Linked DNA regions of Saccharomyces cerevisiae S288C. The protein of the gene in region 2 binds, or shares a complex with, the protein of the main gene of each other region. Each region holds a gene or a part of one and is shown on either strand. Other genes may lie near its edges. A codon is read from its position in the direction of its gene.

Evidence for each region. Proteins that work in one complex are often made in the same cells at the same time.
Region 1: the proteins of ARP7 (region 2) and ARP9 are in contact, whole or in part, in a crystal structure (PDB 3WEE), measured with the Saccharomyces cerevisiae proteins. Residues at the interface, in NP_015359.1 of Saccharomyces cerevisiae: Arg5 (codon at 4,262), Lys6 (codon at 4,265), Phe21 (codon at 4,310), Asn23 (codon at 4,316), Val24 (codon at 4,319), Leu26 (codon at 4,325), Pro27 (codon at 4,328), Gln28 (codon at 4,331), Cys29 (codon at 4,334), Ile30 (codon at 4,337), Thr51 (codon at 4,400), Tyr52 (codon at 4,403), Ile55 (codon at 4,412), Asp56 (codon at 4,415), Leu95 (codon at 4,532), Lys96 (codon at 4,535), Gln229 (codon at 4,934), Gln230 (codon at 4,937), Thr234 (codon at 4,949), Met235 (codon at 4,952), Asn289 (codon at 5,114), Phe290 (codon at 5,117), Leu291 (codon at 5,120), Lys293 (codon at 5,126), Asn296 (codon at 5,135), Lys297 (codon at 5,138), Thr298 (codon at 5,141), Cys306 (codon at 5,165), Met429 (codon at 5,534), Met430 (codon at 5,537); in NP_013747.1 of Saccharomyces cerevisiae: Ser118 (codon at 3,890), Ser120 (codon at 3,884), Gln121 (codon at 3,881), Ser122 (codon at 3,878), Glu125 (codon at 3,869), Gln179 (codon at 3,707), Leu180 (codon at 3,704), Asp181 (codon at 3,701), His182 (codon at 3,698), Leu183 (codon at 3,695), Val184 (codon at 3,692), Ser185 (codon at 3,689), Arg312 (codon at 3,308), Leu315 (codon at 3,299), Thr316 (codon at 3,296), Asp318 (codon at 3,290), Asn319 (codon at 3,287), Asp321 (codon at 3,281), Asp322 (codon at 3,278), Asp356 (codon at 3,176), His357 (codon at 3,173), Leu358 (codon at 3,170), Ile359 (codon at 3,167), Ile360 (codon at 3,164), Pro362 (codon at 3,158), Glu365 (codon at 3,149), Ile398 (codon at 3,050), Glu399 (codon at 3,047), Tyr400 (codon at 3,044), Val401 (codon at 3,041).

Annotation. Positions count from the first base shown.
Region 1 is NC_001145.3:336,115-342,114, reverse strand, and holds ARP9 (Arp9p), read right to left. Parts: upstream 4,328-6,000; coding exon 4,298-4,327; intron 4,212-4,297; coding exon 2,838-4,211; downstream 1-2,837. Other genes in the region: putative tyrosine protein phosphatase MIH1, read left to right, coding at 1-259; IMP2 (endopeptidase catalytic subunit), read right to left, coding at 440-973; RCH1 (Rch1p), read left to right, coding at 1,393-2,697; YMR030W-A (uncharacterized protein), read right to left, coding at 4,512-4,802; formin-binding protein HOF1, read right to left, coding at 4,808-6,000.
Region 2 is NC_001148.4:635,276-643,584, forward strand, and holds ARP7 (Arp7p), read left to right. Parts: upstream 1-4,249; coding exon 4,250-5,683; downstream 5,684-8,309. Other genes in the region: Rab GTPase-binding protein SRO7, read left to right, coding at 1-1,949; HTS1 (histidine--tRNA ligase), read right to left, coding at 2,104-3,744; GLN1 (glutamate--ammonia ligase), read left to right, coding at 6,933-8,045. UniProt on the Saccharomyces cerevisiae protein: Component of the chromatin structure remodeling complex (RSC), which is involved in transcription regulation and nucleosome positioning. RSC is responsible for the transfer of a histone octamer from a nucleosome core particle to naked DNA.

The DNA.
Region 1 (6,000 bases), on a different chromosome or scaffold from region 2:
CGAAAATTTCTTCCCCATCTTAAGTAAGTCGTCTATGAGTAGTAACAGTAACCTAAGCACTTCACATATGCTACTAATGGACGGACTGGATACCCCATCATATTTTAGTTTCGAAGATGAGAGAGGCAATCATCAGCAAGTAAGTGGAGATGAAGAGCAAGACGGAGATTTTACTTTCGTTGGTTCCGACCGAGAAGATTTACCCAGGCCCGCAAGAAGATCGTTATTCCCTTCTCTAGAGACTGAAGATAAAAAATGATACTACATGTGCATGAAGTATTATGAAAAAAAGAAGTATATATTCAGGAACCGAACGGCAACAACATCAATACATAAATCACAATCATCTATATTTATTGCATTAGATTAATCACATAATATAAAAAATTTGCATTTGAATACCGGGGTCACTTCTAAATTCATAAAAATAAGCTGATTTTCATTCTAAAATGGCTCTTTTGCTAATGCAGTCTCTACCGGTACTCAGTTTGAGATCCGTTCCCCACCTGGAGGGTGGCCAAACAATTGTTATAGCTTTCCCTATGACCAACCCACTGGAAATGGGGCCAAAAGTATTGCTATCAATCGAATGAAAATAATTGTCCCCTTCGACCCATATGTGTCCCCTGGGCAGGTTCACTTGAGGTTTAGGGTATGGAAACTTCGTGTCAATGGTATCAAACGGTAAACCTTTAACCCTTTTGCAGTAAACTTTCCGAGGGTTTGTAGGAGCTTTGAAAAGGATAATGTCATCTCTAGATAAATTACTTGGGTTCTTGACTCCAAACTTCCAAAGCAGCACCCAATCTGTTGCCAGCGTTTCCGTTTGCGGGTTCAGCGTAGGCTGCATAGAGGTACCTTTAACTTGCGCAATATGGACCACATTATTATTGATTGTTAGAAGTACCGGAACCCATGAAATTGCTATTAGTGTGTTTCGTAAGAATCTTTTTGATGATCCGGCTCGAAACATTACTGTACAGTACAATGCAACAGCTTCATGAATAGCAGCACGCCTTCGTTAACAAGCACCCATCTAGTCATTCAATTAAGGCACTTGTTTTTTCCATTTTTTTCAGTAGCTCGGAACTTAGCCTCGCTCTCCTTCCGAGCTTGATCTTCCACAGTATTTCGATGACATTGGTCTACCCGTAAGTCTGAGCTCCAACGAACAGCCAGAAGCTAAGAAAGCATAAAAAAGAACCGAACCACTTTAAAATCTAGCAAATTTTAACCTTCAATTATATAAAGAGAGATTTATAGCTTTTTATTGCCTGAAACCGTCTATGCTACCTGAATCACCTTCGCACCCTTTTCTACGATATATCCCAACTCTGACATAACTTGCAAAAAGAAGGAAGACACACATTTAATACACCTACTTAGTGCCAAATGAAGACTCAGTACTCTCTAATACGAAAAATTTGGGCACATTCAGTAACAGAATTTCTGAAATCCCAGTGGTTTTTCATCTGTTTGGCTATTTTAATCGTTATTGCAAGATTTGCTCCGAATTTTGCAAGAGACGGAGGGTTAATTAAAGGCCAATATAGTATTGGGTACGGCTGCGTCGCCTGGATTTTTCTCCAAAGTGGCCTGGGAATGAAATCAAGGTCACTAATGGCAAATATGTTAAATTGGAGAGCTCATGCCACTATTCTGGTTCTGAGTTTCCTTATTACCTCGTCCATAGTATATGGATTTTGTTGCGCGGTAAAGGCTGCTAATGATCCGAAAATAGATGACTGGGTACTTATCGGTCTAATTTTGACTGCCACTTGTCCAACAACCGTGGCTTCAAACGTTATCATGACTACGAATGCAGGTGGAAATAGCCTTTTGTGCGTTTGTGAAGTATTCATTGGAAATTTGTTGGGTGCGTTTATTACACCTGCATTGGTTCAAATGTTTACTAACCGCGCACCATTTGCATACGGCAACCCTGCCACTGGAAATGGCATTGGTGCGCTTTATGGCCGTGTTATGAAACAGGTTGGTCTCTCTGTATTCGTACCCTTGTTTGTGGGTCAGGTTATTCAAAATTGCTTTCCGAAGGGTACTGCTTATTACCTGGGCTTTTTGAAAAAATACCATATTAAAATTGGATCTTACATGCTTTTATTGATTATGTTTAGTTCATTCTCAACTGCCTTTTATCAGGATGCGTTTACTAGCGTTTCTCATGTTTGCATCATATTTCTCTGCTTTTTTAATTTGGGAATTTATATATTCTTCACGGGTCTGTCATACTTATGTGCAAGGCCATGGTTCATCCTCAAGCTTTTCCCTCATGAACCAATAGAGGGCAAATCTACAAGATTGTACCGCTATTCGTATAATATCTTTAGGCCTTTTTATTATTCAAAGGAAGATGCGATTTGCATTATGTTTTGTGGCCCGGCTAAAACTGCAGCACTGGGTGTATCACTAATTACTTCACAATACGGCGATAAAAAAGAACACCTGGGTAAGTTGTTGGTTCCCTTGGTTTTATATCAAGTTGAGCAAGTCATGACGGCAAATTTCTTTGTAAGCTTGTTCAAAAGATGGATACAAAAGGACGCTCAAGCAGACGGAAGCGAGTCATCTTGTGCAAATGAGAATGAGGAAGTTGATTTGGAAAAGATCATATCAATTGGAACTGGTGAAAATCAATCCGTTCTGTCGAACAACGTCCCATATACACAACCAAGGTGATATTTCCCTTGTTAATTTTGCATGAATTCTATATATTACATAACGTTTATGTATATATTTCCCATCCTCATTGGATGGAAAAAACTAAACAGCACATATTCACACGGATTTTGGATACACGAAGCATCTATCACGTATTCTTAAAATTGCACGTCCCAAAGAGCAGCCGGTCCTTTCATATTATACTTTTCTCTTGTGATATAAAATGTATCTTTAGGATGAGTGAAAATTTGCTTAGAAACAATTTGGGCACCCAAGAATATAATCTCTGAATATCCACTTTTCTTCCACTCAGGAAAGTAATCTGGATATTTAGCCAGTTTGATTACTGTAGGACACTGTACGTATTCTATAGTTGGAACAAATGCGGTGCTATTTGTCATAAACTTGCTTTTCTTTTTTGTTGCAGCTGGTAATACGGATTTCGCTTCCTCTTCTCTTTTTGACTTCTCTTCCTCTGGCTCTATAATTAAATGGTCTTTCAGTAGTTGACCCAGTAAAGCTTCTTTAAAACCTGAAATTGAAGTAGTGCCACCGACGATGATAATATTTTCCCAAACGGCTTTAGCTTTGTTAATATCATCTATGTTATCTAACGTCAATCCTACACGATTAGAAATATTCTTAATCAGGTTATTACATCCTTGGAATCTTTGCTTACCAACTTTAATTTCGTTACCTTTTTCATCCCAAAAAGTATTGAATTCCAAGTCGCTATTTTTAACATTTTTGACTTTTTGACCACGTTCTCTTTCCTCTAAAACTTCACGTGTATCACGACCACTTGTAATAATCTCGGCAACGTTTAAAGTTCCTTCATCCTCGTCCTCATTTTCGTTTCCAAAATCGAAACTTGATAGTTTTTTGGCGTCGTCACTGAGCACCTCAAAAATTGGTGATTTTTTCAATGATTCTATCTGATCATCGTCCCATTGAGGTAGTAGTTTTTTTAGAGAATCATTAATAGACTGTCCGCCCATTGGTATTGAAGAGACAAGATGGTCTAATTGTGCATAGTCAACAATAGGAATAATATCTGTATGATGTGTTCCAACATCAATAATACAACAATTCTGCAACGAAATCATAGAATAAGTGGCCGCTAAGGAAGCCGGCAATTGGATTAGATTGTTTATCTCAAGACTTTCGAAGACATATTGAGTAATAATCTCTAGATCCGATTGCGACCAAGAGTGGTGCGTAATCAGTAGAAGAGGAATATTAGATAATTCAGCTTCAAAAGCATCTTGATTTTTATTAGCTCTATCAGACAAAATAGATACAAATATTAGTCTAAGAAATTGTGTAAAGGCGCTTATGTCTATTATTTCACCATTTTGGATTGGTTTGATTAATTCGGCTTTATTATCCTTGTTCGTTGAATGATATGTGTAGGAACCATCTTGTCTCGTGGTCCGATAAATCTGTGTTGGTATTTCCAGCTCAGGTACAGTGAATGTTTCTTCATTCAAACCAAATTGAACGAGAGTAGTTTGAGATCTGGGGTATATTATCTGTTATGAATTGTTGTTAGTATAAAAGATTAACCAAAAACTGTTCGTGAAGACTTAAAAAATCCATTGATGAACTAAATACGTACCAAAATACTGTCCTGCCTAAATGGAGCCATATTCAATGCATATAGTAGTTGTTCAAGACACTTAACTTCGCGTGGTACATTTTTTCTAATTCCGCAATATTGTCAGTTTACTATTAGAGATTTATAATGTTGAAATTTGCTTTTAGCCACTGCGCGGAAATATGTAGTATTCGTAACAAGTGACTCTAATGATATAAACACAGTAGAACTGTCATTAGAGCACATTAAATAATATGTATATCTTATTGCGTCCAAATGAACATAAAAGTGGAAAGGGAATGCCTGACCTAACAATTATCGTGATTATTGTGTCAAAAATGGTAAAGAAAACTTTTTTTTTTTTTGAAAATATGAAGGAAAGACGTGATATTTTATGATTTTTAGTTACAAATCCGGAGAGGTGTCCTTCTCCCACGGCAGCGTATATCTTTCTATTTCTACTTAACAAAAATCTGACATTATACTTTTTTTCTTTTATCAGAAAACTAGTAAAATTGATATACATCGAGATCAAAGACCTTGATGCAGTAGCTGAATGAAATTATAGGGAATTAATCCTATCCTATGATTTCTATCTATACGGTCATTATCATAAACTTCACCTTTATACCAATCTTTATTAACAATCTCAGTAATTAGCAGATAGTCGCCCTTATGGAAATTCGCTAATCCAGGTGCCTCATTTCCAATCAATGGATACATGGCCTTGGCATATTCAATGACTGGAAAACCTTCACTGGTGACAATAGGCAAGGTAACAGTAATACCTCTATCCCTGACCACACCTCTCTCATCCATGATGTTTCCTGTTTTTGTACCTGGTTTAGAACTACTTTGGATTCTTTCCATTTCGTACAAGGCATCTTCAATTGGATTACTTGAATCTTGCATTATCATGGATTGTCTATGCGTGTGCCCCCTAGACGTTCCTCTTACTGCCACAGGAGGTTTGAACAAAATTGTGCTTGTACTGGTATCTCTCCTCGTGTTATAATCATCTTCATTGAGGTTGTGCGCAGAGTTAGGCGTTCTTCCCCCATCATCCGACCTCGAAGAAGCGGATGAGGGTACTTGCAAATGGCTCATAGATTTTCTTTTCCTATTTGACGAGTTCCATGATTTGGCAAATCTCTGTGAGTCGTCTATACTATTGGCCATTGAACTTACGGATGTAGTCATAGATTCCATACTTTGTCTCTTTTTGATGTGGCTAAAATCCGTTGGATTAGAAGAACTTGATTCTGATGGTGAGCTGAGAGATTGATTTCTTTTATGCACCATTAGACCTTTTTCATCAGGATTTTTCGAATCTTCATCAGGTTTAAGTTGTTCTTCCCCAACAATCGGCCTTGGTTTATCAGGTTTCTGCCTTAACACGGAGTCATCCACATTGCTCTGTAACTGGACGGGTGAAGACCTCAAAGATAATGTTGGGTTAGCAACCACTTTTGTCTCATTACGTATGACGGGTGTGGAATTTCTAAATTGTGTAGCCATGGTGACTTCTGGAGATGGCAATGGTTTCTCATATTTGTCTATTGAAGCTAGTTTCCTTTTATTTTCGGTTTCCTTCAGCTGAGAAGATAGTTTCCTTATATTGTCCATATACGATTCGGTTTTTTTACTTGTCGTGGAGATACTGCTCATTTGAGCCCAGTTGGCGCTAGAATTCATGTCACCTTTGGAAGTCTTATGTTTCAGTC
Region 2 (8,309 bases):
AGAACTACTATGCAAATCCGAAACAAATGAAGATATTTCCCTTACCAACCAATGTGCCAATAGTGAATATACTACCAATTCCAAGACAGTCCCCGTATTTTGCAGGATGTCATAATCCGGGGTTAATTTTGTTAATCCTAGGTAACGGTGAGATAGAAACAATGCTATATCCTTCTGGAATATTTACAGATAAAGCCTCTTTATTCCCTCAAAATCTTTCCTGGCTGAGACCATTAGCCACGACTTCAATGGCCGCTTCTGTACCAAACAAATTATGGCTTGGTGCGCTTTCTGCAGCTCAAAACAAGGATTATTTGTTGAAGGGAGGGGTTAGAACAAAAAGGCAAAAACTTCCCGCTGAGTACGGTACAGCATTCATTACCGGCCATTCTAATGGCTCAGTTAGGATATACGATGCTTCCCATGGGGATATACAAGATAATGCTAGCTTTGAAGTGAATCTATCAAGAACGTTGAACAAGGCCAAAGAACTAGCAGTTGATAAGATATCTTTTGCCGCAGAGACTCTCGAGTTGGCGGTGTCAATTGAAACAGGAGACGTTGTTTTATTCAAATATGAAGTAAACCAGTTTTACAGTGTTGAGAACAGACCAGAAAGCGGTGACCTGGAGATGAATTTCAGGCGGTTTTCTTTGAATAATACGAATGGTGTTCTCGTCGATGTGAGAGACAGGGCACCTACCGGTGTTAGGCAGGGATTTATGCCATCAACTGCCGTGCATGCCAACAAAGGGAAAACATCTGCAATCAACAACAGTAATATTGGATTTGTTGGAATCGCATATGCTGCCGGAAGCCTTATGTTGATCGATAGAAGAGGTCCTGCAATCATTTACATGGAAAACATTAGAGAAATCTCGGGAGCTCAAAGCGCATGTGTTACCTGCATCGAATTCGTAATTATGGAGTATGGAGACGATGGTTACTCTAGTATATTGATGGTCTGTGGTACTGATATGGGCGAGGTAATCACATACAAAATTCTTCCTGCATCAGGTGGAAAGTTCGATGTGCAACTAATGGATATTACTAATGTTACCAGTAAGGGTCCGATACACAAAATTGATGCATTTTCAAAGGAAACAAAATCTAGCTGCTTGGCAACTATTCCAAAAATGCAGAATTTAAGTAAAGGCCTTTGCATTCCTGGTATTGTATTAATAACTGGATTCGATGATATCAGATTAATAACACTGGGCAAATCTAAAAGTACACATAAAGGTTTCAAATACCCGCTTGCCGCGACAGGTTTATCTTACATCTCAACCGTTGAGAAAAATAATGATAGGAAGAACCTAACCGTAATAATTACATTAGAAATCAATGGCCATCTAAGAGTTTTTACTATTCCAGATTTCAAAGAACAAATGTCTGAACATATTCCATTTCCAATTGCCGCAAAATACATTACAGAATCATCTGTTTTAAGAAATGGTGATATAGCGATTCGAGTGAGTGAATTTCAGGCGTCACTATTTTCTACTGTCAAGGAACAGGATACGCTAGCGCCAGTTTCTGACACACTGTACATCAATGGAATCAGGATTCCCTATAGGCCACAAGTAAATTCATTACAGTGGGCAAGAGGCACTGTATATTGTACTCCCGCTCAATTAAATGAATTATTGGGTGGCGTGAATAGACCTGCATCCAAATACAAAGAGAGCATCATTGCTGAGGGAAGTTTCTCGGAGCGTTCTTCAGACGATAATAATGCGAACCATCCGGAACACCAGTATACCAAGCCCACCCGTAAGGGCAGGAACAGTAGTTACGGGGTACTAAGAAATGTTTCTCGAGCTGTAGAAACTAGATGGGACGCCGTTGAAGATAGATTCAACGACTATGCTACCGCCATGGGAGAAACAATGAACGAGGCTGTTGAGCAGACTGGAAAAGATGTAATGAAAGGTGCCCTTGGTTTTTAAATACATACACTAATTCATACAGGGTAATGAGCAACTTCCTTCTATACTTATTTTTTTTTAGTTCTATATGCTTTATAAATTAATTTGAATCGATTTATTTTTCATTATACATGTCTAGTTTTACGAAGGTTTGTAAATACATGAGCTATCAAGTTTATAATCCTTTAATTAAACGAGTGACCTCATTTAGACCATCTTCATGAATTTGTGATAACTTTTCTTGAACAATAGGAACAATGTCAGCCGCACTAACCAATTCACCATCATCATCGGCAAATTCTTGGCCCAATCTTTTGACACGTAATTTACCTTCTAAGTACTCCTCCTTACCGAGGATTACGGCAATGTGACAACCCGCTTTTTCAGCAGCATCGAATTGCTTCCTAGGATTAGCCTTGGCCTTATAGACATATTCAGCTTCAATGCCAGCATCCCATAATTGCTTAGTAACCTTCATTCTTTCGGGTAAATAACCAGTCCAGTCCTTACCACCACCAAAAGCCATAACGAACACCTGTGTAGCCGTTGGCTTTATAGTTGTAGAGGAATTAATTCTTTGTTTGATCAAAGAAAATATTCTTTCAACACCAAATGAAATACCAACACATGGAATTTGAGTAGATTTTTTGCCGGAAGCTTCAGAGAACATGTTGACCAAATTATCATATCGACCACCGGCTGCAATAGAGCCGACACCAACGAATTCTGACGCGTCTTCTGCAGATTTGGCCTTCTTCTTCAATTCTGAAGCATTCTCTGGTGGAGCAGATGCAGAAGTAACAACTTCATAGATCAAACCTGTATAGTAATCCAAACCTCTTGCAAGAGAAAGATCAAAAGAGATGAATGAGTCAATGTCAAATGCTTCGGTATACTTCATCAAAGTAGCAATATCATCCAAACCTTGTTTAGCCTTTTCGTTTGAAGTAATGTTGGCATCTGCGGATAGAACAGCGTGAATTTCCTTCAAAGAACCATTTAATTTAACATACTCACCGATTTTATCAGCAGTTTCTTCGGATTGACCTTTTTCTTCGGTCATTTCCTTCTTGACTGCTTCCCATGGAGATTTGTCCAACTTATCGACAGCAGAAGAGATTTTCCTCACATCCTCATCTTTAACACCAGCGATTTGGAAGATCCCATCAAGAATCTTCCTGTGATTCAATTTGATTTTGAAATCTTTGATTCCCAAACTGGTCAAACCTTCCACTAAAATGGACAAACATTCGGAATCAGGAACCATAGATTCGAATGTGCCTGCAACGTCAAAATCACACTGGTAAAATTCTCTCATACGACCCTTAGTCATGGCTGGTTGGTCTCTTCTGTAGACTTTTGCAATGTGATACCTCTTGATACTCTGAATATTGTTCATGGCAACGTACCTGGCAAAAGGAACGGTCAAATCGTAACGTAAAGAACATAATTCACCACCCTGGTCCTCCAAGTTGTAGATCAGTTTGGAGTCCTCACCATACTTGCCTGCTAAAATTTCTCTTAACTCGAAAACAGGTGTGTCGATAGTGACACCACCATGCTTCTTGAATAGGCCAGATAAAGTGCTAAAAATGGCTTCTCTGATAACCATATCACTATCAGCCCAATCCTTCGTACCCTTAGGTGTTTTCAAAGACACTTGTAGTTTACCTTTCTTTGGAGCCTTTGAAGCTTTTAGAGCATTAGCAGCATTAGCAGTAGGAGCAGAAGTAGCAGCAGCGGTAGCGGATGACATCCTGATTATCGAAGACGACTTTATAGATGTGACTACTTTATTTAGTGATCTACTAAGCATTAAGCAAGAGACGAGCAGAAAGGAACTATTCTAAAGTAACACATTGGGCCGTAAGACTCATTTAAAAGCCCGGTCGATCAAGGCCATAAGTCATCTTCGAGCTGGTTAGAATTGAAGAAAAAAAAAAACTTGATAAAAAATTTCAAACAAAAAAATTATCGCCTTACACGGAAACGAATAGATTTACTTATTACACAAGAGAGAACAGTGATTATAAGGAAAGAAAGAGATATATACAATATTTCCATCAAAGACGTACGCATCACGGCGTTCATATAAGTATATCATCGGCAAGTCTTCACACCTTTCAATACTTAGACTTGTTCACCTTGAGTGATCCTGAAAAAAAAAAATGATGGCCGCGTTTCGAAGAAAATAAAGAAAAAATAAAGCAAACCTCAAACAAGAAAACAAAGCGGAAAATGGTAAACAAGAGAGATAGAACAGAGTAGTAGGCTATTAGCAAAAGCGCGAGAATTACTACATTATAAAGGATCTGTCAAGAATGACATTGAATAGGAAGTGCGTAGTGATACATAACGGATCGCACAGAACGGTGGCTGGATTTAGTAACGTTGAATTGCCACAATGCATTATACCCTCTAGCTATATTAAAAGAACAGATGAGGGGGGGGAAGCTGAGTTTATATTCGGAACCTACAATATGATAGACGCTGCGGCAGAAAAACGCAATGGTGACGAGGTGTATACATTGGTAGATAGCCAAGGGTTACCGTACAATTGGGACGCATTGGAGATGCAGTGGAGATATCTGTACGACACCCAATTGAAAGTTTCACCCGAGGAACTGCCACTGGTGATTACGATGCCTGCCACCAATGGTAAACCGGACATGGCCATATTAGAGCGCTACTATGAGCTGGCGTTCGACAAATTAAATGTACCAGTATTCCAGATTGTAATCGAGCCATTGGCAATTGCCCTATCCATGGGCAAGAGTTCTGCATTCGTGATTGATATCGGCGCGTCAGGCTGTAACGTTACTCCCATCATTGACGGTATTGTGGTGAAGAATGCTGTAGTGAGATCTAAATTTGGCGGTGATTTCTTGGATTTTCAAGTACACGAAAGGTTGGCTCCACTGATTAAAGAAGAGAACGACATGGAAAACATGGCCGACGAGCAAAAAAGGTCCACCGACGTTTGGTACGAAGCAAGCACGTGGATTCAGCAATTCAAGTCTACTATGTTGCAAGTAAGCGAAAAGGACTTGTTTGAGTTGGAAAGGTATTACAAAGAGCAAGCAGATATATACGCTAAGCAACAGGAGCAGTTAAAACAAATGGATCAGCAACTTCAGTACACGGCGTTAACGGGAAGCCCCAACAATCCGTTGGTTCAAAAGAAAAATTTTCTATTCAAGCCATTAAACAAGACTTTAACCTTGGACCTTAAGGAGTGCTACCAATTCGCAGAGTATCTCTTCAAACCTCAACTGATATCAGACAAATTCTCACCAGAGGACGGACTGGGACCGCTAATGGCAAAATCAGTCAAGAAGGCCGGCGCTAGTATAAATTCAATGAAGGCCAATACCTCCACCAACCCAAACGGATTGGGTACAAGCCATATAAACACCAATGTTGGCGATAATAACAGTACTGCCAGCAGCAGCAACATATCACCAGAACAAGTATACTCGCTACTGTTGACGAACGTCATCATCACAGGATCTACCTCTCTGATCGAAGGTATGGAGCAACGCATAATAAAGGAGCTGTCAATCAGGTTCCCGCAATACAAATTGACAACTTTTGCCAACCAAGTCATGATGGACCGTAAAATCCAGGGATGGCTGGGCGCCCTTACAATGGCCAATCTGCCATCATGGAGCTTGGGAAAATGGTACTCTAAGGAAGATTACGAAACGCTGAAAAGAGACAGAAAGCAGTCGCAGGCTACGAACGCAACAAACTAGTGGTAAGGCGCAAATATCCAAAAGGGATTGTAGGCGGCTAGAAGGAGATGAGATCTCGACCCATTTTTCTCAGCGCCGGTAGTAGCTATCAGTAAGGAGTAAGCGGGTTTCCTTCAAGATTCAGTCCACCCCCTACTTTGAGTGAGGGACATATAAACAAACGCGATAACTCGATGAACCCATTCTAATATAAAAAAACTGTATAAATAGTTATATAGAGATGAACTCTAAGCTAGTGAGGCCCACTGTAAACAGCCATTTTTCAATATGCGCTACCCGGCGGCGGAATATCGTCCCAGCTACATGATAGCCGCTTTTTTGTCTCTCTTTGTCCCACCTGTTCAAAGACATTTGGTAATCAGTTTGTCAGGACAATAGTAAACAAAAGTGCGCAAGTACACATGCGCTGCACGTGCGGCCGGAACAATGGCGCTTTTGGCTCGTCCGGATGATGCGAAAGGGAAAATAAAATCTCGCAATCGGAAAAACACTCGCGAGAACCAAAACAAGGATCCCCTAAACCCAGTACCCGCATACGGTTCTCCCGGGGAAAAGGGGGCGGAGGCCGGACGATGAGTGTTACCCGGATAGGACTACGGATCGCTTCGCACGTTTGTTTACAATTGATGACTGCGCTCCCCTAATAGATAAGATAAGCTCGCGAAGGCAGAAAAAAAAAAGTCTTCTACAGCAGTTGGTCCGCACAGACGATGCCAGACGGTGTTTTATCGAAAATTTTTTTCGCATCATAGTGCCATTTGTGGTCATTATTATTCCCCAAATATGCGAAAATAGTACACTATTTTTGGCAGGAGAGTAGGCTGATATGCCGCATTGATGTCCTGTGTAGCGAAACACAAACAAAAAAAGAAAAAGTAGGATGAAAAAAAGAAAAGTAATATGAAAAAAGAGTGAAAAATTAATTCATTTGTTAGTGTAAGCGGTCAGGTGTAAGTAGTAGGCTTGATAATGAATTAAAGATGACTCCGACGCATATTGTTTGCCATGTTTTTATTTTAGTTTGTAGATTTCTTTTTTTGTAATATATAAGGGAGTGATTCTATATATCGAATTCTCAGGCTTGGTTGGTTCGTAGGTTGTTCTGTCTTTGTTTTCGTTAGGTAAGAACATCACACAAAGATAACTATAGAATCACATACATATTTGTGAGAAATTAACTTCATTTCATTTATAGAAGAAGTTCAACCGAAACAAAAATTAAACATAATATAATATAATATAATCAAAAATGGCTGAAGCAAGCATCGAAAAGACTCAAATTTTACAAAAATATCTAGAACTGGACCAAAGAGGTAGAATAATTGCCGAATACGTTTGGATCGATGGTACTGGTAACTTACGTTCCAAAGGTAGAACTTTGAAGAAGAGAATCACATCCATTGACCAATTGCCAGAATGGAACTTCGACGGTTCTTCTACCAACCAAGCGCCAGGCCACGACTCTGACATCTATTTGAAACCCGTTGCTTACTACCCAGATCCCTTCAGGAGAGGTGACAACATTGTTGTCTTGGCCGCATGTTACAACAATGACGGTACTCCAAACAAGTTCAACCACAGACACGAAGCTGCCAAGCTATTTGCTGCTCATAAGGATGAAGAAATCTGGTTTGGTCTAGAACAAGAATACACTCTATTTGACATGTATGACGATGTTTACGGATGGCCAAAGGGTGGGTACCCAGCTCCACAAGGTCCTTACTACTGTGGTGTTGGTGCCGGTAAGGTTTATGCCAGAGACATGATCGAAGCTCACTACAGAGCTTGTTTGTATGCCGGATTAGAAATTTCTGGTATTAACGCTGAAGTCATGCCATCTCAATGGGAATTCCAAGTCGGTCCATGTACCGGTATTGACATGGGTGACCAATTATGGATGGCCAGATACTTTTTGCACAGAGTGGCAGAAGAGTTTGGTATCAAGATCTCATTCCATCCAAAGCCATTGAAGGGTGACTGGAACGGTGCCGGTTGTCACACTAACGTTTCCACCAAGGAAATGAGACAACCAGGTGGTATGAAATACATCGAACAAGCCATCGAGAAGTTATCCAAGAGACACGCTGAACACATTAAGTTGTACGGTAGCGATAACGACATGAGATTAACTGGTAGACATGAAACCGCTTCCATGACTGCCTTTTCTTCTGGTGTCGCCAACAGAGGTAGCTCAATTAGAATCCCAAGATCCGTCGCCAAGGAAGGTTACGGTTACTTTGAAGACCGTAGACCAGCTTCCAACATCGACCCATACTTGGTTACAGGTATCATGTGTGAAACTGTTTGCGGTGCTATTGACAATGCTGACATGACGAAGGAATTTGAAAGAGAATCTTCATAAGCATAATACAATGGTGCAAAATTTTTTTTAGGCAGGAACTAATCTACTAATAAACTAACAATAATGCACAGGAAATATTAATGATTTATTTATTTATTTTACTACTATATTACATTACTTTTTTACATAAAAAATTTCCCATCTCACGATCAAAAACAGGCATGAGAAAAAATCAAAATTTATAAAATTAATTTCTAATAAATTAACTGTAATGACATAAAATAAGAGGCTGCGACAGTCGAATTTTTTCTTTTTTTTTTTCTG